Oryctolagus cuniculus: one gene and its partners. The protein of the gene in region 4 interacts with the protein of the main gene of each other region in a pairwise test. Links are inferred from orthologs where the notes say so. Each region holds a gene or a part of one and is shown on either strand. Other genes may lie near its edges. The genes, in order: FOSL1, NRIP1, TNNT1, LDOC1, RAB29, PLEKHF2 and AP1M1.

The links.
Region 1: the proteins of LDOC1 (region 4) and FOSL1 interact in binary tests that used the Homo sapiens proteins (3 or more experiments, as listed by UniProt). The two-hybrid records come from large-scale screens. The link is inferred for Oryctolagus cuniculus from reciprocal best matches to the Homo sapiens genes LDOC1 and FOSL1.
Region 2: the proteins of LDOC1 (region 4) and NRIP1 interact in binary tests that used the Homo sapiens proteins (3 or more experiments, as listed by UniProt). The two-hybrid records come from large-scale screens. The link is inferred for Oryctolagus cuniculus from reciprocal best matches to the Homo sapiens genes LDOC1 and NRIP1.
Region 3: the proteins of LDOC1 (region 4) and TNNT1 interact in binary tests that used the Homo sapiens proteins (3 or more experiments, as listed by UniProt). The two-hybrid records come from large-scale screens. The link is inferred for Oryctolagus cuniculus from reciprocal best matches to the Homo sapiens genes LDOC1 and TNNT1.
Region 5: the proteins of LDOC1 (region 4) and RAB29 interact in binary tests that used the Homo sapiens proteins (3 or more experiments, as listed by UniProt). The two-hybrid records come from large-scale screens. The link is inferred for Oryctolagus cuniculus from reciprocal best matches to the Homo sapiens genes LDOC1 and RAB29.
Region 6: the proteins of LDOC1 (region 4) and PLEKHF2 interact in binary tests that used the Homo sapiens proteins (3 or more experiments, as listed by UniProt). The two-hybrid records come from large-scale screens. The link is inferred for Oryctolagus cuniculus from reciprocal best matches to the Homo sapiens genes LDOC1 and PLEKHF2.
Region 7: the proteins of LDOC1 (region 4) and AP1M1 interact in binary tests that used the Homo sapiens proteins (3 or more experiments, as listed by UniProt). The two-hybrid records come from large-scale screens. The link is inferred for Oryctolagus cuniculus from reciprocal best matches to the Homo sapiens genes LDOC1 and AP1M1.

The regions. Positions count from the first base shown.
Region 1 is NC_091432.1:5,879,230-5,881,804, reverse strand, and holds the end of FOSL1 (fos-related antigen 1), read right to left. Parts: intron 1,823-2,575; coding exon 1,715-1,822; intron 1,438-1,714; coding exon 1,024-1,437; 3' UTR 501-1,023; downstream 1-500.
Region 2 is NC_091435.1:32,174,371-32,177,870, reverse strand, and holds part of NRIP1 (nuclear receptor-interacting protein 1), read right to left. Parts: coding exon 852-3,500; 3' UTR 1-851. UniProt on the Homo sapiens protein: Modulates transcriptional activation by steroid receptors such as NR3C1, NR3C2 and ESR1. Also modulates transcriptional repression by nuclear hormone receptors.
Region 3 is NC_091449.1:3,705,175-3,709,263, forward strand, and holds the start of TNNT1 (troponin T, slow skeletal muscle), read left to right. Parts: upstream 1-1,289; 5' UTR 1,290-1,594; exon of another isoform or gene 1,595-1,686; intron 1,687-3,007; exon of another isoform or gene 3,008-3,424; intron 3,425-3,485; exon of another isoform or gene 3,486-3,791; 5' UTR 3,792-3,802; coding exon 3,803-3,834; coding exon of another isoform or gene 3,835-3,838; exon of another isoform or gene 3,839-3,844; coding exon of another isoform or gene 3,845-3,870; exon of another isoform or gene 3,871-3,881; intron 3,882-3,914; coding exon 3,915-3,928; intron 3,929-4,089. Other genes in the region: TNNI3 (troponin I, cardiac muscle), read left to right, coding at 609-692. UniProt on the Homo sapiens protein: Troponin T is the tropomyosin-binding subunit of troponin, the thin filament regulatory complex which confers calcium-sensitivity to striated muscle actomyosin ATPase activity.
Region 4 is NC_091453.1:119,608,682-119,611,998, forward strand, and holds LDOC1 (protein LDOC1), read left to right. Parts: upstream 1-1,209; 5' UTR 1,210-1,573; coding exon 1,574-2,014; 3' UTR 2,015-2,817; downstream 2,818-3,317. UniProt on the Homo sapiens protein: May have an important role in the development and/or progression of some cancers.
Region 5 is NC_091444.1:21,088,742-21,092,206, reverse strand, and holds part of RAB29 (ras-related protein Rab-7L1), read left to right. Parts: intron 1-674; coding exon 675-746; intron 747-2,934; coding exon 2,935-3,116; intron 3,117-3,465. UniProt on the Homo sapiens protein: The small GTPases Rab are key regulators in vesicle trafficking. Essential for maintaining the integrity of the endosome-trans-Golgi network structure.
Region 6 is NC_091437.1:120,560,765-120,564,264, reverse strand, and holds part of PLEKHF2 (pleckstrin homology domain-containing family F member 2), read right to left. Parts: intron 1,469-3,500; 5' UTR 1,455-1,468; coding exon 705-1,454; 3' UTR 1-704. UniProt on the Homo sapiens protein: May play a role in early endosome fusion upstream of RAB5, hence regulating receptor trafficking and fluid-phase transport. Enhances cellular sensitivity to TNF-induced apoptosis.
Region 7 is NC_091447.1:64,728,466-64,732,737, forward strand, and holds the start of AP1M1 (AP-1 complex subunit mu-1), read left to right. Parts: upstream 1-1,472; 5' UTR 1,473-1,602; coding exon 1,603-1,644; intron 1,645-4,272. UniProt on the Homo sapiens protein: Subunit of clathrin-associated adaptor protein complex 1 that plays a role in protein sorting in the trans-Golgi network (TGN) and endosomes.

The DNA of each region.
Region 1 (2,575 bases), on a different chromosome or scaffold from region 4:
GGGCTCGGGACCGGGTACCCTTCCCTTCCGACGCGACCGCAAAACTGAGGTGGCCGACTCCCCTACCCACTCGAGTTTGGGGTGGGAATGCGGGACTCTCTCCCCTCCCCCAGTCCAGTGCCGGGACAGACCGGGATCCGGCCCCTGAAGTGGCTCCTGCTCCCTTCCTGTGCAAGACAATGGGGCAGGAAGCAGGTGTTGGGGGCCTAGAACCCACTTGGCCGCGTCTTGAGGATGGACGCGGGGGTGGGGTGGGGGTGGAAGAGTGCCTCCCCCGTGGCACATGCGCCAGCTCTGTTGGCTCCCAGGGGAGAGGGACCGATAACCCCCCCACCTTCACCCCGGAGCACCCCGTTCTCTCCGTGCTGGCAATGAGGCGCCGGCGTCAGATAAGACAGGATCCAGAAGTATCAATTTGTCCAAGGTCACGGGGCCAGTCTGTGGGGCGGAGACCCACACCCAGGGCTGGCGACTCTGGGCCCAAGGACACACCCCCCAGACCAGAGCTTCAAGCCTTTTATTCCATGTTGGCAGGTTTGTATAAAAATACTCTCTTCTGGAAAATAAATAGCAGCTGCCCCTCCCTCTGGAGGCCTGGATTCCCTGGGGGCTAAAGGCTTCTCAGAGGGGGGCTACAGGTGAGCTCGTCACAGAAGCCCGTGGTACACACCTCGTGGACTGTGCGGGCCGGAGGGGTCGGCCCGTGGCCGTGCGCTGCTGGCAGTGGGGCTGGTGAGTTAGTGTTGTAGGCTGGGAGACAGGCTCCCTGGACAGTGTGGGGGGTGGGTGTGGGCTCCACAGGGCCCCTAGGGGGTCATACAAAGTCTCTCTGGGTTTTTCTGACAGATGGGAGATGTTTGGTCTGAGATTTGGTGCAAATGTGCTCGGTTTCACCTGGGGGGATGGAGAAGCGCGGCGAGGGCCGGGCGGTCCAGGCCAGCTGGACCTGGGAACGGGGCGGGGGCTGGCGGGGGAGGAGATGCCTTCTGGGGTGGCGCCTTGCAGGAGGGGGGCTGGGCTGCCTCACAAGGCCAGGAGGGTTGGGGAGCCCAGGGGGTCTGAGGAGGGATCCCCACTGCTGCTGCTGCTTTTGCGATGGGCGGAGGAGCAGGGCTCAGGGGTGCTGGGGTAGGTGAAGACCAGGCTGGGGGTGAAGGGAGTGAGGGAGGGCGTGGTCATGAGCGTGGGGGTGTGCAGTGCCTCGGGCTCCAGCACGGGCCCCGGGGAGAGGGAGATGCAAGGGACTGGGCGGCAGGGGGCGGGCGGGCTGCTGGTGCCGCCGGAGCCGCCTGGGTCGCCGCTGTCCTGGGCTGCTTCTGGGATTTTGCAGATGGGGCGGTGGGCTTCCAGCACCAGCTCCAGGCGCTCTTTCTGCTTCTGCAGCTCCTCAATCTCCCGCTGCAGCGCGGACTTCTCGTCCTCCAGCTTGTCCGTCTCCTGGAGAGGTGGCAAAGGGGAGTAGGGAGGGTGAGGGCGGAAGGCCCCGTGGCCCCCGCCGGGGTGGGGCGTCTCCAGCACGGCTGGACTGCAACTCCCGTGAGCCCCTGGGAAAACATGGGCACAACTCCCATGAGGCCTGGGGTGGCTCAGACAGGCTGCTGGCTGGACTTGGGCTCAGTGCTGCTTCTCCCAGGACTGTCCCGGGAGAGGGACAGCCAGGGTGCCCATGAGGCTCAGGGGGACCCTGGGTGCCCCCACAGGGGTCAGCGCTCACCGCCTGCAGGAAGTCGGTCAGTTCCTTCCTCCTGTTCCTGCACTTGGCCGCGGCCAGCTTGTTCCGCTCCCGCCTCACTCGGCGACGCTCCTCTTCCTCTGGGCTGATCTGGGGGGTCGGGGGGGAGGCGGCAGTGAGACAGACCCCGGGTCACTGCTGTGACCTTGCCCCCTCCAGGGGTAAGCCCCTGGCCATGTGGAGCCCCCCCACCCCGGTCTGTGATTTGAAGACCACTGCACCCACACTGGTTCCCCGTACTCGGGTGCTGCGTAGCAATGGCCAATTCCCACCTCTGCCCTAGCTCTAGTGCTCACTCCTGCTCCCACAAACCTCAGCTTCCAGGGCTCAGCTGGGCGCCCCGGGCTACAGGACACCTTCCTGCCCCCATTCCCTGGGGTGGGCTTTTCCCTTTGCAAGGGGCACCCATCCTTCTGTGTTCAGACTGCCACGTCTGTCCCCCAGGATCTGGAGTGCTGGAGGGGCTGAGCACCCACGGAAGTCGCAGCTTCGGGGGGACCTGACCTCTGTGCAGCTCAGCCCCGCCTTCCAGGTCAGGACTTGAAGCCCGGGGGCCGAAGGGGGCGGGGAGACATGACTTGCGTACGGTTCCAGCCACTGGGTGAGAGGCCAGTGAGTGGAGACCACGCCCCCAAGAGGACCCCTGGCAGCACCAACCTGGGAGTACCTAGGACAGGGCTGAAGGAAGCGGCCACGGGAGGGGTCCGCTGGCTGGCTTCAGCCCTTCTGTCTCTGGCCACCTGTTCCTGGCTGGTCTCACACCTTTCTCAGGACCCTGAGCTCCACCCCGGCTGCAGCGCGAGCTTTGCCGGGACAGCCCTCTCTCCACCGTGGTCCCATGTA
Region 2 (3,500 bases), on a different chromosome or scaffold from region 4:
CTGTTCAAAGAAAAGCCATTTTACTTCTGTTATAAACAATTTCTTAAATATTCAACTATTCAGGAAACCACCTGAACGCAAATGTTAACTTCCCTAATTCTGTAAAAGGAGGAGTAATAATTTAGTAAAGTAGTTAAAATACAAAAATGGAAATCTGTCCTTTTTTATAAGGATCTATCAAACTTCCCTCAATTGTAATCAATTTTTACTAAGTAGTACAAGGTTTAAAGAAATATGTATTGAAAAGGACTGGGGCGGGCAGACATACTGGGAATCAAAAAACCCCTTCCAAGAGTTAAAAACAAATATGTCTTTTAGCAAAAGTGAAAAATGTTAAGTATATAGTTTTTCTGATTTATTGGATAATTTATTACTGGATAATGAGATGTGAATCAGAACTAAAATTTTAATTTGATATTATTCCCTAAGAGTTATTTAAGAGTTTGGATTTTTAAAAAAACGTGTAGGCTGACTTCTGAAAAGCAAAATGAAACACCGTATTCAAGGCATCAAAATGCAGTAATCCACTATGGATGGAGTTTTACATTTTAACTTATGCCTCTTATTTATGATTATAAAATAATTTCATTCATAGGCTACTCACAGTTGTTATCTGATGCATACAGAAGTGTGAAACAACCAATTGCTAAGTTCAGTAGTTTCCTCATGACATCTAATGTTAAGCAAAAATTAGTATGCATATTTAAACATCACCAGTAACCAATACTTCTCAAAATAAAAAAAAGTTTCAATTATACCATGCTTTTCTCAAATCATGCTCTTATTTATACAGATCTCAAGTTCATACTAATTAGTTTTAAAGTGATCCAAAGCTGACTGGTAGGTACATTTCATTCGGATTCTTTTTTTATTGTTAGCATGTTTCCCAGAAGTCCGTAAACATCTCCATTTGCACTGTGTGGGCGAGAAGCATTATTTCCCATATGGCTGTTGTAAGGGCTTCGTAAGTTGATAAAAGCAGCCTTAGGTTCTGCAGCAGGGAGTAACTCTTCTTTGACTGGAACCTGTGAGACACTTTCAGAAGAAGGTTCCCTCCAAATGTCCTTATCCTGCGTTTCTCGACTGGTAACAGAAGTGCCTCCTTTCTGGAGCATGTAATACAAGATTGGGTTAGTTTTGGTCAGTCTTGGAGAGTCTTTTTCATACTCACTCTTATCTACATCTGTGATAACCCACTTAATGGGTCCCTTCTCACTGGGCCCGGGACAGCCACTCAAAGGCCCAGTTTCTGGCCGAGAACCCGCACAGCTCATGTGCTCAGAGAAAGGTGGAGTCACAGGAGTTTTTACTACTCCTGGGTATGAAAATGTCCTGTTATCCACGCAACTACTGGGCTGACTGGAACTGTACATCAGTCCATTTAAAGAAGAAATGCTGAATTCAGGTTTGCTACTGGTCACATTATTTTTGTGTCCTTTTCTTTTACTGTCAACGACAGAGTTACTCCTGTGTGGGGACAAATCCCGCACACAGTTTTCTGAGAGAAGGAGCTGTTTCAGAACATTGAAACTTTTGCTCTCTCGGGCCCAACTCCTATGTTCATTTTCATTGGCTGAACCAGAACCAGCAGGATATTTAAATTCAAGGTCATTTCTGCTAAATTTCAGCTCTTCCTGGTTAATCAAAGACCCATACAGTACTTCTGGAGCGCTGTGATTGTTTGCAGCATCAACAATGTTATTTTTCATCTTTTTAAATGGATTTTCTAATGGCTCAGAATAAAGCTTCCTTTTCTTAGGGACCATACAAAGATTCTTTGATTCCAGAAGCGTTAGTTCGCTGCTTCTGTAGCTCTTGTCCGGGTCATCTGCCAGGTAACTCTCATGGTTTTGTCTCAGCAACCGACTTAACAAACCATTCTTCGAGAAAGAAAAATCCTGAGGTGAAACTGGCTCCGATTTCAAGTCCTCGGATGCTGGTAAGGCAGCTGCGTTTCTCTGCATGGTAGGAGCCGTACCCAGTAGTGGGGCACTCTTAGTATCATGGTTCAAGTGCAGATTTGTGTTGTGAATATGTAAGTCATCACAAGGCTCAGATTTTATTTTCACCATCAGTATTTGTTCACTTAAAGCTCTCTCGCTGTGTCCCTGAGTACTTTCATCTCTTATAGGAATCTTCTCTTTTTTTTCACTCTTACCTTTGTTGGTATTTCCCAGGAGCAACTGGAGGACAGTGCGTCTTTCAAGCAGATTTTCTATTTCAGAACTAGAAAGTCCTGGCTCAGGAGCTGCTGACTGACTACTGAATGCCTTACTGTCTTCAGCTGCATTTGTTTTATTTGCGAGCAGAGGGCTATTTAATCTCTCCATCATACCTAGCGGTTTGTCTGGGTTTACACTTAGCAGCTGTTTGCTGGGGCGCTGCTCGTCCGCTGACACGGAAGACTGCATCCCACACTGCGCTAGATTCTGTAACAGCTTACTGGCACTGAAAGTGGCAGAGTTTGGTGCACCTTCATTTTGGGCTGGTTTCTCTCCTTGTGATTCTTTGCTTTTTGTCAGGTCCATCAAGTGGTTAGATGCAGCATTCATTAGCTTTTCAGACTGAGTACTGCAGGCATATGGTGTGGAATTCCATTTGATGACCAGGGAGTTCTGAGAAAGATTGATGGGAGAATCTGCTTTGGTGGATGCAAGTAATGGTGGAGTGCTCACTGGAGTAGTCCTATTTGTACTGGGGCTTTCTATTACAGAAGTCCTTGTATAATTTTGTGGACTGAACTTTGTCACATCACTGTGTACTCCCTGAGTGCTGGTGGTCTTTTCTACATTTTCTTCATTCTTATGGCCAAGTAGCAACTGAAGAAGGGTTACTTTCTGGTGTGAATTTAGCTTGGAATTCTTTGAGGTGTCTTGATCTTCTTTGATATCCACCTCTGGGACTTTTGGATCCCAGGTGTTGAGCAAGGACTGAGTTAAGTTATCTAGAGAAACAGGTTGGTCAGATTCCACTTTTTCGATTCGGTGTTTGCAAGACAAATCTATGGGAACACAGTTAGAATAAGAACTTTCATCACCGCTACTGTCATCTGTAAAACTAGGATTGTTGTCTGAATATTCATCAATAGTTGTAGGTGTACTGCTATCCTCAAAAATGCTTCCTCTCTCACTATGACTATGTCCATTCATAGGCTTAGGTATGGTCTGGCTTTTAAGAAGGTGTAAAAGCAAACTATTATTGGCAGCTTGTTTTAGACTGTTTCTTTCCAGTGAGTTCTTATAGCCTGCATTTTTGGGGGAAGAAGGAACAATACCCATTGGATTTTGAAATGCTGTAGCATTACTTTTGCTAGTCATTAGTTTGCTTGACGATGTTCTTGCCTGACCGTTAAGATGGGTTGGCATTCCTTTCGAGAGCTGGAAACCACCAACATCCTTCTGGCCATTTTCTTGCAATCTGGCCATCGCAGCGAGTCTTTCACTTGCCACTTGATTTGCATTTTGTGTTTTTAAAGCATGTTCTCGAGAATACTGCTGCAA
Region 3 (4,089 bases), on a different chromosome or scaffold from region 4:
GTGATGAGGAGACAGGAAGTGATGGGGGAGACACGCAGGAAGTGCATGAGGGGACAGACAGGAAGTGCATGAGGGGGACAGGAAGTGCATGACAGAGACAGGAAGTACATGAGGAGGAGAGGGGGACAGGAAGTGATGAGGGGACAGGAAGTGCATGAGGAGGGCACACAGGAAGTGCATGATACAGGAAGTGCATTGGGGACAGGAAGTGCATAATGGACATAGGAAGTGATGAGGGGACAGGAAGTGCAGGAGGGGGACAGGAAGTGCATGAGGAGGATACACAGGAAGTGCATGAGGGAACAGGAAGTGCATGAGGGGACAGACAGGAAATGCATGAGGGGTCAGACAGGAAGTGCATGAGGGGACAGGCAGTGCATGACACAGGAAGTACATAAGGGGTCAGACAGGAAGTGCATGAGGGGAGGCAGGAAGTGCATGAGGGGACAGACATGAAGTGCATGACACAGGAAGTGTGTGACTGGGACAAGAGGCAGTTAAGAGAACTCGGCCGACTGTAGGGGACAGGCAGCGTGGAGCGGTCCTGCCCGCAGCGGCTTAGGGAGAGGGGACCAGGAGGAGACCCTAACCTCTGACCGCACCCCCAGGAGAACCGGGAGGTGGGAGACTGGCGCAAGAACATCGACCTGCTGAGCGGCATGGAGGGTCGCAAGAAGAAGTTCGAGGGCTGAGCCCCGCACGGCCCGGCCCGCCCTGCTGAATAAAGCTGCTCCGAACTGCAGTGGCCGCGTCCTGGTGTGCTGGACACTGGGGGGAACGGGGGCGGGGCCGCCCTGCGCCTCCGACAGGGGCGCTCATGGCTGCACGTGGGGTGCACGCAGAGGCCAAGGACAAGGCCGACGGGGAGCACCCACGGAGACGCCCACGGGAGAGGGACTGAGCCAAAGACGCAAAGGAGGAGAGAGAGAGACGGAAGACAGCGGGCACAGACTCCCAGGGAACCTGTGACCGACAGGAGCTAGAAAGACACACGAGGACATGGACAGCCACAGACTCGCCCAGGGACCCCGAGCACCAGACAGAGGCCCGCCCGGAAGTGCCATCGACAGGACACACACCCAGGGGCCAGAGGGGGACAAGGACAGAGCCCTGGGAGACCCTGAGAAGGGCAGCCAGGTCCCCGGGGGGAGGAAGCCTGCTGTCCAGGGCTCTCTCAAGGTCATGGCTGGACTGGGGGGAGGGCTTGCCAGCCTCATTGTCACCCCATCCTCTCCCCCCCCCCACACCTGCCTCCCGGTTTTAGAGCCTTTTGTCACCAGAGCGGAATCCTGGTGGCAGACAAAGGGGTGGGGGCGGGGACAGGGACACACACAGGACAGACAGAGGCTCAGAGACCACCCATGGGGAGGCCTGGGCCCTGGAGCAGCCAGGAGATGCCTGGACCCTGACTCTGGAGCCAGAAGGGGCTGGGCCTCCTCTGAGCTCAGGAATTCCCCCCCACCCCGCGCCCCAGGGGCGGGGCTCAGCCTGCAGCTATAAACCCCTATAAACGCGGGGTGCGTCAGAGCCCTCAGCGAGGCCAGGCCAGGCAAGGCTCAGCCTGCGGATCCAGCGTCTGCATCCCCAGCCTTAGGTAACGGGGCTCTGCCGTCCCCACGGAGTGCCCTGGACGGAGCGCGAGAGCTGGGGTCTGGGAGGAGCAGGCTCAGAGCACAGGGCGCCTGGGTGCCGAATGCGGGGTGTCTTCCGGAGTCTGCAGGGACCTCAGGAGGGGTGTTCTGGGCTCGGCTGTCAGATAGTCTGAGTGGCAGGTTTGGGGGTCTCCAGCTCTGGGGGTATCAGGACCGGGGAGGGGTCTGAGTGTGGGATTTTGGGAATCGGGTCTCAGCATTTGTAGCGCCATAGCTCGGGGTGTGGTGCTGAGCCCTGAGCTTGGGCCCCAGGGTGCCCATCCTGACGGTGTGGGGCCGTGGGGTAGCCGGGCCCACAAGTGGGTTATCCAGGGGGTGGGACTGGAAGGGCTCTGAGCCTGGGCCAGGAGGGTCTCAGGGACGCGGGGTGTGCGTGTGTGTGTGTGTGTGTAGGGTCTCAGGGACGCGGGGTGTGTGTGTGTGTGTGTGGTGTGGAGGGTCTCAGGGACGCGGGGTGTGTGTGTGTGTAGTTTCAGGGACACGGTGTGTGTGTGTGTGTGCATGTGTGTGTGTGGAGGGTCTCAGGGACACGGGGTGTGTGTGTGTGTGTGTGTGTGTGTAGGGTCTCAGGGACGCGGGGTGTGTGTGTGTGTGGTGTGAAGGGTCTCAGGGACGCGGGGTGTGTGTGTGTGTGTGTGGTGTGGAGGGTCTCAGGGACGCGGGGTGTGTGTGTGTGTGTGTGTGTGTGGTGTGGAGGGTCTCAGGGACGCGGGGTGTGTGTGTGTGTGTGTGTGTGGTGTGGAGGGTCTCAGGGACGCGGGGTGTGTGTGTGTGTGGTGTGGAGGGTCTCAGGGACGCGGGGTGTGTGTGTGTGTGTGTGGTGTGAAGGGTCTCAGGGACGCGGGGTGTGTGTGTGTGTGTGTGGTGTGGAGGGTCTCAGGGACGCGGGGTGTGTGTGTGTGTGTGTGTGTGTAGGGTCTCAGGGACGCGGGGTGTGTGTGTGTGTGTGTGTGGTGTGGAGGGTCTCAGGGACGCGGTGTGTGTGTGTGTGTGTGTGTGTGTGTGGAGGGTCTCAGGGACGCGGGGTGTGTGTGTGTGTGTGTGTGGTGTGGAGGGTCTCAGGGACACGGGGTGTGTGTGTGTGTGTGTGTAGTCTCAGGGACGCGGTGTGTGTGTGTGTGTGTGTGTGTGTGCATGTGGAGGTGAGTGGAGGAGACAGGTGGTGACTCATTGTCCCAGAAGGCCCCCCCAGTCCTTCTTAGGAAATGTCCTCTGTGGACATCCCCCCAAAATAGCTGCCGGGGTGGGGCTGCTATTGTCTGCAGGCCCTGTCTCAGATCCCCTCCTAATCCAGGGGGATCAGGTTCCTGTCCTCAGACAAAGGGGACAGCTGTGCTGGGGGGCGGGGGCTGCCGCTCTGCCAGGCCCACAGCTCCAGGCCCTGCTGTCCCCAGCGCTTAGGCTCTGGGGGCCAGGCCCTCCTCCCTCTGACATGGGGGTCCCCCAGCTCCCTCCTCCCTCAGACATGGGGGTACCCCCAGCCCTCCTCCCTCAGACACGGGGGTCCCCCCTGTTCCCTCCTCCTTCAGACACGGGGGTCCCCCAGCCCTCCTCCTTCAGACACAGGGATCCCCCCAGGCCCCTCCTCCCTCAGACATGGGGGTCCCCCAGAAACTCCTCCCTCAGACACAGGGGTTCCCCCAGGCCCTCCTCCCTCAGACATGGGAGTCCCCCAGCCCTCCTCCCTCAGACACGGGGGTCCCCCCAGGCCCTCCTCCCTCAGACATGGGAGTCCCCCAGCCCTCCTCCCTCAGACACGGGGGTCCCCCCAGGCCCTCCTCCCTCAGACATGGAGTCCCCCAGCCCTCCTCCCTGACACGGGGGTCCCCCCAGGCCCTCCTCCATTAGACATGGGAGTCCCCCAGCCCTCCTCCCTCAGACCAGGGGTCCACGCCCCTCCCTCCTCCCTCAGACCCAGGGATCCCCCCCAGTCCGGTCCTCCTCCCTCAAACACGGGGATCCCCCAGCCCTCTACCCTCAGACACAGGAGTGCCCCAGGCCCTCCTCCCTAAGACCCGGGGGCCCCAGGCCTTCTCCCTCAGACCCAGGGGTGCAGGCCCCACCTCCTCCCTCAGAACCAGGGGTCCCTGGGCCTCCCCCTTCAGACCCCACAGCCGTCACCTCTTCTCTCTGGCGCAGGTCACAGCAGGATGTCGGACACCGAGGAGCAGGAATATGAGGAGTGAGTGACAATGGCAGGAGGGAGGGGCTTGGAGAAGCCCCCTCCCCGCCCCAGACTCTCTGACCCCCATCTCTCCCCAGGGAGCAGCCAGAGGGTGCGCAGAGAGGAAGCCGCCCGGGGACAGAGCCGCTGGCCCACCCCAGCCATCGCCCATCACCCACCCCAGCCATCGTCCACCCCAGCCATCGCCCATCACCCACCCCAGCCATCGCCCATCATCCACCCCAGCCATCGCCCATCATCCACCCCAGCCAT
Region 4 (3,317 bases):
GAGATGCTATCATTCACCAAACATTAATGGAGACCTTTCTCTGGGCCAGGCTGGCTTCTAGGCACTAGAGATAAAGCAGCTAGCAAACAAAGCCTCTCTCTGCACCAACTTACATTCTACAGTGGAGGCAGATGATGAACAAAGTGCTCTACAATGTGCTGGCCAGGATTATGATGATAAATGTTCTGTATTGAAACATATAAGGTAAGGGGTTAGAGACTGGGTGGCACAGAACAGGGCGCTCTGAGAACCGGAGTGCTCAGGAAAGTTCTGTAGGAATGTAAGGGGAGGAGCCAGGCCTCTAACTGGGAAGAGCTTTGCAATTCAGAGGGATAAAAAGTACAAAGGCCTTGAGGCTGGAATTAGCTGATATGTGTAAGAATCAGCAGGGGGTGGGGTGTGATTAGAGCAGAACTGGGAATGGGAGACCTAGGAGAGTAGGCAGGGCCTTCCTTATAGGGCATGGTCAAGACTTTGTTTTTTATTCTAAGTGACAGGGGAAACTATTGGAGGGTTTTGAGCCAGGGAGGGAAGGGATCTGACTTCTGCGCTAAAGGATTCCCACAGCTACTCTATAGAGAACAGAGTGTAGGAAGAGAAGAAAGCAAGCTAAAAGTGATTGCTTTTAGCGGTCTGGCAATGGTAGAAGTGACAAAGAGGGCTGCATTCGTTGTCAAAAACTATTTGAATATTCACATTCAAATAGAAAAAAACATTAAAGAGCACAAATGTCTTCATGGTTTCCTCATTGTTAAGAATAACAACCATTGCCACAGGCTCTGATATCAGGACGTGAAACAGAGCCACACAGGGAGGTCACCTTAAGCGCTTATCAGATGGTGACTTTGCAGAACTTGTTATAAGCCTCTATTCAGAATTTTTTCAACACTTAGTAATGGTTTCTAAATAAAAGTCCCTGTTCAAATACCGCTTTGCGACGAAAGCCCGGACCCCTTAAGAGTCTTTATGACTCTGAAAGGATCGGTGATTGCAGCAGGGCAGTCAGCAGCGTCAGTACTTCTCTAGGGGAGGTTTGAAAAGGCGATTAATCCTATCAACAAAACATCGCACCCAAGAAACTGGCGTTTGCAGACCCGCGAAACAGTGAATTGTGCGAGTCGGCTGTCTGCGACATGGCGCTCAGTGCCCGCCAGGCCCTAGGCTAACGCAGGCCTCACATCCGGGGCTCGGCCCCATTTCACAGCCTTTACCAGTTCTCCTAGCGAGCCAGCACTTGTCTGCTCTCCGCGACACTGCGCGACCCTGCGCTTCCCTCCCCGGCCACTCCCTCCCTGGTCTCAAGTCCCCTCCAACGGTTCGCGGCAGCCAGGCCACGCCCCCACTGCGTCCTGGCCTCTTCCCCGGCCCCGCCCGCACCTTGCTGCGCCGGCGCGCCGCCTGCCTGAGTGGCCTCGGGGGCGGAGCTTGCGCAGCCGCCGGGACCCCACGCTCGCCGTCCCCCGCCCCTGGCCACAGCACTTTATAGGACACGCACTTCCTGCAAGGCCTCTTGTGTGCATCTTGGCCCAGCGGAGCCTACTCGAGCGAGCCCAGACCTTTCAAGCTGTTCGAGATGGTGGACGAGCTTGTGTTACTGCTGCACGCACTGCTGGTGAGGCACCGCGCCCTGAGCATCGAGAACAGCCAGCTCATGGAACAGCTGCGGCTGCTGGTTTGCGAGAGGGCCAGCCTGCTGCGCCAGGTACGTCCGCCGAGCTGCCCGGTGCCCTTCCCTGAAACGTTTAACGGCGAGAGCTCCCGGCTCCCCGAGTTTATTGTGCAGACGGCGTCTTACATGCTCGTGAACGAGAACCGGTTCTGCAACGACGCCATGAAGGTGGCATTCCTAATCAGCCTCCTGACCGGGGAAGCCGAGGAGTGGGTGGTGCCCTACATCGAGATGGATAGCCCCATCCTAGGCGATTACCGGGCCTTCCTGGATGAGATGAAGCAGTGTTTCGGCTGGGATGATGACGAAGACGACGACGACGACTATGAAGAGGATGATTACTAGGCCCCGAGCCGCTGGGGGCCTATGAGGGGAGAGCCCTGCACGCAGCCACTTCTCCCTCTCCTCCACCCCCACCCCATCCCACCCGACCTCCGGAGCTGCTGCACTCCCCTTGCCTTCCTGTTCTCCCCTCCCCAACCCCCGAAGTGCTTGTCTTTGTTCCAGGAGTAGTGCTCCAGCTACCTGCTGCTGGGGCTGGGCAGGGGCCTCACCCTGAAGCCGGTCATCTGATTTGCCTAGCCCCAGGACCTCTCCCCACCTCATCTGAACTGTGTCATAAGCCCCAGTTATAGGCCAGGCCCCTGTTACAAACTGCTCAGATCACACTGCTGCTGCCACCTGCCTCGCTGCCAGGCCTACACCTGCACAGAGACTCATGCTACCACTGCGCCATCGCCCACTGCAAGCCTCTGACAGATCATCGCTTTTAGAGACAAGGACCAACACAGAAGACTTCTGACTTGGCTACACCTTTTCGGACATTGATTTGGACAGCTCATCGGCCCCTCAAGGGGCTGTTTTTCAACCTGGTTAGTTCCCTACCTACTCCTAGGGTCCTCTACCCAGCCTGAGTGCTGCGGGGACCTGGTGTGCCTGGCAACCAAATTGTTGATGTCTCTTTTCTCTAATGCACAACTGTCGTTTTTCTTTCATAATTGCAGCAGCCCCACCAATGTGTGTGGTTGAACATATGTTTCTAAAAACAAAACAAACAAAAAGCAAAAACGCACTAAGCTCAGCTCCTCAATACTACCTGGAAAAAAAAAGTTGGCATTATTTTCAATAAATATCAAGCACTACAAAAAGTGAGAAATGATTGTCTTTTAATGGTTAAGTGCTATCACTGGCATCTGCCATGCTCACACTGACTCCTGCTATTCCCATTGATGTCCAATTCAATCCCAGTGGTCCCTATTGTCATCTCTAGGCTACAGAGGACAGTTTCCACGGGGCTTTAAAAATATTCCAATGCTTCCCTTACCAAGGCATAGCTTAAAGCCCAAACGGAATGTCTTCTGGGGCCTCCAGGGTGGCATGGGTAAGGGGTGGCTGAGCATGTGGCTCATCATCCCAAACCAGGACACTTTTGAGAGTAAAAGGGGATGCTATTACTAATCATGGTGACACAGCAAGCGTATAAACCTGGACACATGCATGAAGGGGCTTCATGAAGTCCATGGGAAAATGGAACTAAAATAATGTACATTTTCAGTGAACTTTGTGAAGCCCCCAGTGTGAGCCCTGCTTGTCTTTTGGGTTCCTTAACACTGTCAGGGAAGCTCTGTCCCTTAACCCTTATTGCCTG
Region 5 (3,465 bases), on a different chromosome or scaffold from region 4:
TCCCAGGAACTGCTCAACGGAGAGAGGGGGGCTGGTCTCACAATCACTGCTGCCCTTTTGCGCCTGGCCTTGGAGTCACATGGATTGTGTGGGCGGGAGAGCAAAAGTCGGGCACCCCTTTGGAGAATAGGAATTCCCTGTCCCCCACTTAATATGCCAGGCTGAGCTCATTCAGACCTACTGAGGGCTTAAAAATAAACAAACGAATGGCTTTGGAATTGTGTGTCCCCAGGGTTGTAACTGCTTCTCGGATATGAGTGTATCCCTGTGGTTTTTTTGTTTTGTCGTTTTTGTTTTTTTTAATTTTCAGGGAAGGGTGATTGTGGCCCAGCCTGTTAAACCCCGGCCTGGGATGCCCGCACCCCGTGATGGAGTGTCTCGGTCAAGGCCTGACTGCTATGCTTCCTGCTAATGCACTCCCTAGAAGGCAGCAGATGATGGCCCAAGAGCTTGGGCCCTTGCCACGTATGTGGGATACCCTGATGGAGCTCCTGGCTCCTGGCTTCAGCCTGGCCCAGCCCAGGCTGCTGCAGGCATTTGAGAATAGAACCAGTGAATGAAAGATCTCGTTTGCTCGCTTGTTCACTGTGCATTCAAGTAGATGCAATAAGTAAATAAAAATCTTTTTAAAATAAAAGTAAATTCTGTTAAAATACGACCTACCTGTGTTTCAGTGGACTTCGCGCTGAAGGTGCTGCAGTGGTCCGACTCGGAGGTGGTGCGGCTGCAGCTGTGGGACATTGCAGGTGAGCTGGGAAGGCCGGCTAGGAACAAGCGAAGGCCTGTGACCTCACCAATAAGTGCTTAGAAAAGAAGCGGGCCGGCGAGACCAGAAAGGTTTTATCTGATTGGGCTGCTCGGAGGAAAGGAGCCGAGAGGAGGGGGAGCTTGGGCAGATGTTCTGCCCGGGATGGACCTGGAGCGGCGTCTGGCTAGGAGGAGGAGCTAGCAAGGTGGTGGACTATCCCAACTGGGGGTGGATGTTCCTATAGCAGGGGTTTGCAGCTGACTCTGAGGAGAAACAAGGAACCCAGAAAACAGGATGATAATACTGGACCCTTACTATGCCCCAAGCACTTTCCTGCGGATGTTAAATTCAGCTGGTGGGGTGCAGGGGAGGGAGGAGAGCAGACAGAAGCAGATTGGAAAACAGGTACCAAAACGCAGAGAGAAATAACAGATTCTAGGGACCGGTGTTTGGCATAGCTGTGTAGACATGCCCCTCACCACGTCCACATGCCATATCCAAATGCCTGGATTTGAACCCCAGCTCTGCCTCTGATGCTAGCTTCCTGCTAATGTGCACCCTGGGACACAGCAGATGATGGCTCAAAAACTTGGGTCCTGCCACCCACCTGGGAGACCCAGATTCAGTTCTGGGTCCCTGCCTTTGACCTGGCCAACCCTGGCTGTTGTGGGTAAACCAAGGAATGAAAGATTCTCCTCTCTTTTTCTCTTTCTCTGTCTGCCTTTCAAATAAATAAAAGTGAATAAATATTCAGTAAAAGAAGCACTAGATTCTAGTGTTTTTTTTGTTGTTGTTGTTGTTTTTTGACAGGCAGAGTGGACAGTGAGAGAGAGAGACAGAGAGAAAGGTCTTCCTTTGCCGTTGGTTCACCCTCCAATGGCCGGCGCGCTGCGGCTGGCGCACCGCGCTGATCTGATGGCAGGAGCCAGGTGCCTCTCCTGGTCTCCCATGGGGTGCAGGGCCCAAGTACTTGGGCCATCCTCCACTGCACTCCCGGGCCACAGCAGAGAGCTGGCCTGGAAGAGGGGCAACCGGGACAGAATCCGGCGCCCTGACCGGGACTAGAACCCGGGGTGCCAGCGCCGCAGGTGGAGGATTAGCCTAGTGAGCCGTGGCGCTGGCCTGATTTGATTGTTTTATGCTATATACATGTGCTGAAATACTGCATAGTACCCCATGAAAATGTACAGGAAATGGGGGCCAGTATTTTGGCATAGTGGGTAAAGCTGCTGCCTGTGATGCCAACATCCCATATGGGTGCAGGTTTGTGTCCTGGCTGCTCCACTTCCAGTCAAGCTCCCTGCTAATGGCCTGAGAAAAGCTGTGGAAGATGCCCAAGTGTTTGGACCCCTGCAACCTATGTGGGTGCTCCTGGCTCCTGGCTTTGGCTTGGCCCAGCGCTGGCTATTGTGACGTTCTGGGGATTGAACCAGCAGATCTCTCTCTGACTTCCAAAATAAATATAAATAAATAAATAAAATGTACAGGTGTTACATGTTAGTAAAAACTTTTAGAATAAAATTTTCTTAATTCAGGGACTCATTAATTCCAACAACCCTATCATAAAAGCTGATTTTCTAAAAAGATTTATTAATTTATTTGAAAGCCATAGTGACAGAGAAAGAGAGAGAGAGATCTTGCGTCTACTGGTTCACTCCCCAAATGGTTGCAACAGCCGGGGCTGGGCCAGGCTGCAGCCAGGAGCCAAGGACTCCATCCAGGTCTCCCCCAGGGATGGCAGGGGTCCAAGCACTTGGGCCATCTTCTCCTGCTTACCCAGGAGCACTAACAGAGAGCTGGACTGGAAGCTGAGCAGCCTGGACTCAGACTGGCACTCCAGTTTGGGATGCCAGTGTTCCTAGTGGCAGCTTAACCTTTCACTGTGCCACAACACGAGCCCCAAAGCAACTGCTTTTGACTTCACTTCACACACGAGAAATCTGAAGCACTTAGCAAGTCACACAAATAACAGTAACTGAGTCCAGATCTGGAGTGGGAGACTGGGAGCAGAGTCTGCCTTGGGGATGACTGAGTTTAGTAGGCCCTCTGTGGGATGGAGAGAAGACCAGGAGTGGGAGAGGGCAAGTCAGAAGGTTCCTGTGTCGCGTACGGGTGAGGCCTCTCCGACAAGAAAGGGCCGGTGGGCAGGTGGGGTCACCTTCTCGAGGGCGGCCCTTCCTCCCCAGGGCAGGAGCGCTTCACCTCCATGACGCGGCTGTACTACCGGGACGCCTCCGCCTGTGTTATCATGTTTGACGTTACCAACGCCACTACCTTCAGCAACAGCCAGAGGTGGAAACAGGACCTGGACAGCAAGCTCACCCTGCCCAATGGAGAGCCCGTGCCCTGCCTGCTCTTGGCCAACAAGGTCTGTGGCCAGTGTGAGAAAGTAACTCCCATTTCTTCTCTGTGGTCAGAGAGCAAGCATATCTGAAATGTCCTCTGGGGGTAGGCTTTTCCCCTGGCGGTCAAGCTGTCACTTGGGGTGCCCGAATACCATAGCAGTGCCCGGATTTCCGTCTCTGCCCCACTCCCACTTCCTGCTAATGCATCCCTGGGAGGCAGCAGGTGAGGACTCAGCTGGGAAACCCGGATTGAGCTCCTGGTTCCTAGCCTAAACCTGGCCTAACCCCAACTGTTGTTGGCAGTGGGGAGTGAACCAGTGAAGGGGAACACACACAGACACTCTCTCTCTCTCCCCATGTATCTTTTTGCTT
Region 6 (3,500 bases), on a different chromosome or scaffold from region 4:
TCTATAAAATAAAAAAATGTAATCACAACTACTTTATAGAAAAACATTCATTTAGTATGAAGATACTTCTAAACTGTTATTTGTAGCTGTCAGATGAGAAGTATTCTTAACTGAACTCATTCATAAACACTTATTATATTACCTCAAAGAGCACCAGTGTGTTTTTTAAACAAATCTAAAAGTGAGAAAGTAGGGGCTTATTGTTCATGTAACAGTGCTATTAAGATAAGGCACGACTGGGTATACGAAAACGCCAAAGTATTTCCAAATCATGTATTTTTGCTACCGATGTTTGAACCACTAGGTAAAGTGGTTAGAAAAAAGCTAATATTATTAAACACATTATACTCTTTTCTCCATCATTCTGTGCTTTTAGCTTTTCCATATAACAGAAAAACATACTACATGATCTGTTAAATAAGCATCTTTTCCCAACCTTCCAAGAAAATAATCTAGAAATAAACAACAGTAAGAAATTCAAAATGTGTCTGCTATATTTGCAAGTCTATCCCTGTAGAAGACTGTGGGAGGGGAAGAAGGCAGGAGGGACTTACTTTCTATAGAATACATTGAGGCACATAGGTTCAAAGTTTCTCAGGCAAATTCATGGCTAGAGCAAAATTGAGAGAGCTCAGAATTTTACATTTTCCACAAAGCTGATTTCCCAAATAGCCACACCCAATTAAATATTTCAAAATGTGTCCTTAGTCACTGCTATCATCATCGTCATCATCATCAGATACATCATTTAAAGGAGACTTCAATGACTGACTGTAAGAGTCCGAGCTGGCAGGCTGGCATGTGGCCATGTCCCCAGTAGAAAGCAGGTCATAGCAGAAGTCACAAATCCGCACAGGCTTAGAGGACTGGCTGGGAAGAAGAAACCTCTTTTCAGAGCAGGGCCCACAGACAACAAAACCACACTTGCGGCAATGGTGACGACGATTAACAGGTGTGAATTTTGCTTTCTGACAACGCATACATACAGTTGCCTCAGAGTCAGGAACCCAAACAGCAGCATGTTCATTACTGGGTGTCTTCCCGCTTTTGGAGAGTAAATCAGTAACACATTTATTTATATGATTCATCCATTCTGACTTCTCAGTGGCAGTGGCAGCATAAACTGCAAATGATTTAGTTGGTGTTTTGATAAGCCACCCATTCCTTAAGTCCCCCTCATCTTTGATGGAATCAATAGTGACATTTTCCAGGGGAATAATGTGTTGTTTGTTATATTTTTTCTTCTGAATGACAATATTTCCATATACAAGAATATCATTAAATAGGAAAAACTGCCTTGCTTTAGGCTTTTTTCTACACAATTTAGTCAATACTCCTTCTCCAATAAGGACTCGTCCAGGTATAGTTAAGGGTTGACCAGCAGCTCCAAAACAGTTTTCCACTATGCTTATACGCCTTGTATTTGCTTCACTGTTTGCCAAGCGATCCACCATCTTCTGCTAATAGCCTTTAGAAAAAGAAAGAAAAATAAATTAGCTCACAGAAAGTATATATTCTAAAGGCTAATGAGTTACATAAATTTAATCTAACAATGCATTACTTTCATGCAAAAGTAAAATGCACAAATTCTGTACCTCAAAGATAATCAAGAAGCATACCTAAAGGGCTAGTATCTCTCAACTTTATGAATATCAAAACACTTTATTTCCATACAGCATCACACTAGATCAGCAGGTATTTATAAAAGCACAGATTTCTTACAGACATAAAAGAATGAAAACAAAATGGACAGTTAATATTTTAAGTCACCCCTGCAAAATAACAGGTTCAGCTACATGAAATTTAATCTCAGTGGGATTAAATAACTATTAAATATTAAATAAACTAAGAAAAATGAAGGGCCAGTGCTGTGGTACAACAGGTTAACGCCCTGGCCTGAAGTGCCGGTATCCCATATGGGTGCTGGTTCGAGTTCCAGCTGCTCGCTTCAAATCCAGCTCTCTGCTATGGCCTGGGAAAGCAGTAGAAGATGGCCCAAATCCTTGGGCCCCTGCACCCACTTGGGAGACCCTGAAGAAGCTCCTGGCTCCTGGCTTTGGATTGGCACAGCTCTGGCCATTGCAGCCAATTGGGGAGTGAACCAGCAGATGGAAGACCTCTCTCTCTCTCTGCCTCTCCTCTCTGTGTAACTCTGACTTTCAAAAAAATAAATAAATCTTTAAAAAAAAGGAGAGGGGAGGGGAGGGGAGGGGAGGGGAAAAAAGAAAAATGACTGCCATTTTCCCAGCCAGCTATTAGCACTGAGCCAAGACCAATTCTCTTAACTGATTCAGTGGAACTGTTTCAGTCTTGTCCCTTAAATCAATCTTTAGACAATGATCTTTAAAATGTTAGTGTGACCCTGTCGTTGTTTAAAATGTTTCCTTCTAGCCTGTAAAACACATGCATTTTGGTGTGGTGTTTACAGGACTTCCTTACCTGGTTTTTGCTTATTGCCTCGGCATCACCGTAAGTCACACCTCCCCTCAAATGCTGAATACCCTGTTACTTACAGTACATCTCACTGTTGTTTATTTTACTACTTACTATTACTTAAGCTAAATCTTATTTACACTTCAAGACCTGGTTTAAATTATCATCTCTCCAAGAAGTATTTCTTAAACTCCCAAACTAGACTACAAAAATTTTCCTCCGTACTTGACATATTCCATTTATCTTCTAGCTTTACTTTTACCAAAGGATTAAAATCTCTCCTCCACAGAGGAAGAACGTAAAAGGCAGAAATAGTTTGAAATAAACCTTTGAAACTGATGTGGTATATATAACATGGCAAAGGTACTTCAAAATGTTAAGAACATTTTAATGATCTGAAAAAAGTCAGACAAATTTAATATCATAAATTTATCACTGGATCCAATATTGATCTCACTTGAGTCCCAGGGTTTTGTCCTATTTCAGACTTACTAATACCACCACCATACAACCAACTCACATTAAAGAAGAATAAAGTTTGAGTAGAACATTTAAATCTAAAGTCAAAGTTCCCGATGAGAACTTTGATGAGACAGTAATCCTTCTTGGCCTCCATTATAAGAGATAGGTTGCGGTTATTCCTTAATTCTGTCTCTTCCCCAATCTTAGGTCTTTATAAAGTCCCCTTGTTCTCCACAAAGGCGGGCTCTAGCAGCCCTGAAAGTTGTTCCCAAGGATTAATTTGATAATGTAGGGCTCCAAACTCTGAGGGCTTCTTTTTTGAATCAGGGCTATCTAATCTGTCAGTCAATAGTGTGCAATAGCACACCACAGAAAAGGAAATAAAAACAGCTTACAAACATGAAAATAAGCTTGACAATTCATAATTAAAGACAAGATATTTAAAATACTACAATATTTTTCACTTATCATATTAACAAAATCCTAACAGTTCTTCAACAGGCTGTACTTGTGAGGGTATAGGGAAACAGATAACCCTGGTACACTTCAATCTATGAATTTCACTAAGTGCATGAATGTATGTACAAGGATATTCAACACAGCAT
Region 7 (4,272 bases), on a different chromosome or scaffold from region 4:
GCAGCACTACTTCCGGTGAGCCTGCAGCAGAAACCTCTCCAGTGAGATTGAACAGAAGCAGCACTTCCGGTGAGATGAACAGAAGCGGCACTTCCGGTGAATTGCCACAGACACCTGAAACAGAAGTAGCACTTCCGGTGAGCTGGTTCAGGAGCAGCACTTCCGGTGAACAGCAGAAACCACTTCGGTGAGCTGCAGCAGTAGCATCACTTCCGGTGAGCCCGGAGCACCCGCAGCACTCTTCTTCCAGGCGCCTCTAATGGGTGTCCAGTGCCAAGGCAGACATTGCTAATCGATCGCGACGTTCCTCACCGTGGAAACCTTGGAGCACTGGTCCCTGAGTGGGCACGCGTGTGCTGTGATGCGGCGGCCGCGATGTTGGGAAAAACAGTGTCCGGGGGCCGCGCCGGGGCGGGGGCTGTCTGTGTAAAAGCCGCAGAATAAAGCAAAAGCGTCACTGAAGAGGAGTCTGGGCGTCTGATTGCCTGAGCCATAGCGGCCGGAGATGACTCCTGCCCTCTGTGCCGCGGGCTGGGTGCCCAGCGGGGAGCGCCTGACAGGCACCCAGCCCACCTGCTCATCCGGCGGGCCGGAGCGAAACCAGGGTCTCAGGGGAACGGCGGGAGGGCGCGGACCCAGCAGGAAGCAGTGTCCCGGGTAGCACTGGGATGCACCTGGCGCAGCAGGTAAAGCCTCCGCCCGCAGTGCTGGCATCACACAGGGGCGCCGGTTCGAGTCCCGGCTGCTCCATTTCTGATCCAGCTCTCTGCTGTGGCCTGGGAAAGCAGTACAAGACGGCCCAGGTCCTTGGACCCCTGCACCTGCGTGGGAAACCCGGATGGAGCTCCTGGCTTCGATTTGGCTCTGCTCCGGCCGTTGCGGCCATCTGGGGAGTGAACCAGCAGATGGAAGACCTCCCCCCACCCCCGTAACTCTGTCTTTAAAATAAATAAAATTTTTTCTAAAAACATTTCAGCTGAAGAATGCAGACACGCCGTTGGTTATGACCCGACCAGGGCCGCTAAAAATGTAGCAGGAAAGCACACGTGCCCAGCAGTGGCTTGCGGTTTTTCACGAGGGCATTCCGAGCAGTAAACCGCGGGCTGGCGCGGTGACCCACGTGGACACTGACAGGTGGCCGGAGGAGGCGGGAGGCCAGAGCTTGACCTCTGCACAGAGAAGCACCGCCTTCGCCCTGCCCTAGGACGCGTCACCCCTGGTGGCTGTGTGTAGGCTACGCTCCCCGGCCAGGCCGAGCTCCACGGGTCTGGACCCGCCCGGCTTCACCAGAGCGCCGCGGCCGGCCGGAGTCGCCCCGATTCCGCCGGCCCCGCCCCCCGCGCCCCACTTCCGGCCGCTCGAGGAGCGCAGCGAGAAATACGGTCTTCCCGGGCGTACTGCGCCTGCGCCTAGCCCTCCCGCACCTGCGCAGACCTGGCCGCCCCGCCCCCCTCGCCCTCAGCCCGGACATAACGGTCCGCGCGCGGCGCTCCGGGCCGGAAGTGGAGGGGAACCGTCGCCGGGCGCGCCCGGCCTCGCCCCACGCCCGGCCGTGCCCGCCGCCGCCGCCCTCGGTTGCCGCCGAGGCCTCCCGCAGCCGCCATGTCCGCCAGCGCTGTGTACGTGCTGGACCTGAAGGGCAAGGTACTGAGCGCTCCCCACCCAGCCTCCCCGCTGCCGAGTAACCGGCGGGGGCCTCGCCCTGTTAGGTAAACGACCCGTGGACCCCACCCAGCGGTAGGCGAGGCGGCCGGGCGGCCCCACCCGAGGGTCCCCCACCCAGCAGGGCGGGGGTCTCCAGTCCGCGAGGCCCGCCCTGCTGCCAGGTGGCGAGGTGGGCTGCCGCCTCCGCCGTTGCCAGGTAACGGGCGACGCCGCCCCTCCCCTGCACCCCACCCACCCCCACCGCCGCGTGCCCGCTGGCGATTCGGGCCGGGGTCTCGGGCCTCCGCGGCGGGGAGGGCGGGCCGCAGCCGGCCCCCGGCGTGGGAGGGGTGGGTGGACGGCGCGACCCTTGGCCGGAGGTGGCCAGGCGTGGCGGGGGGTGGTGGACAGCGTGCGCTCGCGGCCGGTCCCGCCTTCTCCCGGGCGCCGCCACCCCGTGGGAACCGCTGACGTCATCGTGACACTGAGTGAGGTTAGGGTTAAGGTGGCGTGGGCGGTGGACAGAGTGGGGAAACCGAGGCACGGAGTGGGCCCGGCGTTTGCAGGGGGCCCAGCAGCCGGGAGGGGCAGGTGTCCTGTGTCCTGGGTTCGGTGCCCGCCTCCGTCCACGCAGAGCCTGGGAGGCCCGGGTCGCTGGGGCCCCGCCACGCGCCTGGCGGGCCCGGGTCCGGTGCTCTGTTTGCAGCTGCAGCCGCCGCCAGGCGCCCTTCCTCTGGGCATCTGGGGGAGCCAACCAGCCGATCGCTGTGTTTGTCTCTTTCTGTGCCTTGCAGACAAAACCAGAAAAAGTTTATTTGGGTGCAAAAAAAATGTTTTTAATCGGTGCATAGGTTTTTTTTTTTTTTTCTCATAAACTTTTCCCTCGTGCGCATAGATTTCGGGGGGAAAATTGCCTCCAATTTTTTTTAACTTATTTGTTTCAAAGGCAGAGTTACAGAAAGAGAGGGAGAGAGAGAGAGGTCTTCCATCCGCTGGTTCACTCCCCAGTTGGCCTCATCGGCTGGAGCTGTGCCGATCTAGAGCCAGGAGCCAGGAGCTACTTCCGGGTCTCCCACGCAGGTGCAGGGGCCCAAGCACTTGGCCCATCTTCCACTGCTTTCCCAGGCCAGAGCAGAGAGCTGGATGGGAAGAGGAGCAGCTGGGACTAGAACCGGCCCTCATATGGGATGGCAGTGCTGCAGGCGGCGGTTTTACCCGCTCTGCCACTGCGCCGGCCCCAGCCCTGATTCCATTGCCCGTGACCTCTGAGAAGCCCCCTCATCAGGGCGGCAGGGGCTTCCCTGGGGGAGGGGCCAGGTGTGGCCGAGACCCAGGCATGTTTCCCAGGGGCCTGTGAGAGCAGCGCTGGCCAGGCCACCTCCCCACATGGGAGCCAGAACTGGGAGAGGCGCGGGTGCCGCCTGAGCCCGGGAGCAGGTGAGCGCGGCCGCCCCTTCCTGCTCCACCCGGCGCCCTCCCCAAGTCCCTGGCCCTCTGCTTGCTTTGGAAGCCACCCAAGAGCTGCAGCTCACGAGGCCGCCTGCAGGGCTTCTGAGCCCGGCCAGACCCGGGAAGCGGGAAAGACGACTTCCCCGAAGCTGCCCGGCTCCTTCCGCCAACGTGTCGGAGCCTCTCGCGCGACCCCAGCCTGTGGCCAGGTACAGGGTGGCCACGGGCCAGGCACAGGGTGGCCACAGTGCTGCCGCTGGCCGCGGCTGTGCACAGTGCCCGGGGAAGCTCAGGCCCCATGGGGGCTCAGCTCTGCCACCCTGTGCAGGGGAGCACTGGGGAGGAGGCGCTTCCCTCTCTGGGCCTCGCCTTTCCCTCCCCAGAGGCTTTGACAGGGCTGGCGTGGTGAGGTCAGGAGATACCGGCCCCACAGGCCCGGGACAAGGTCCTGGCAGTGCAGCTGGGGAAGGGGGAGGCGGGTGCCCCAGTGGGCTGAACGAGGTGACCAGGCGGCAGGTGGAAAGGAGGCGTCCGGTGGGCCGCAGGGCGGGACGCACACACACACACACACACACACACACACCCCCGCCAGCCCTCCGCAGCCGGGACGCCCCATATCAGAGGTTTCGAAAGTCTGCCTCCTGCACTGAAGTGTTTGCTCAGAAGTAAGGCAACAGCGCCTTGAGCAATCCGTGCCAGCCGCGGGCGCCCCGTGGGTGGGCAGAAGCTCTCCCCGGGCACCTGTCCACCTGCGGCCCAGAGCCCCTTCCCGCCTCTTCTGCTCTCGCCCGTTGACTGTTGGGTTCCGAGGGGGTGGGGCCCAGTCGTGTCTCCCCACAGTGCCCCTCTTCCCAGGCCCACATCCAGACAGCTTATCTGGAGAGCCACTGGCCTCCAGGGTGCTGAGTGGTCCCTGCCATGCCCAGACTTGCTGTCCCTTCTGTGTCCACGCTGGAGCCCCGGTGTTACTCTGGCCTTCTCCTCCCCACCCACATGGCCGCTGCACAGATGTTTCCTGGGCACCCGCCGCGGGCCAGGCTGTGTCCTGGGTGCTGGGGCACAGCTGTGAGAGACCCCAGAGCAGCCGCTGTTCTCAGGGAACCTCAGACAAATGAGGACACAGATGTGTGTATAGCCTGGCAGAGGGGACAGGCAGGGAGGACTTCCTGGAGGAGGTGC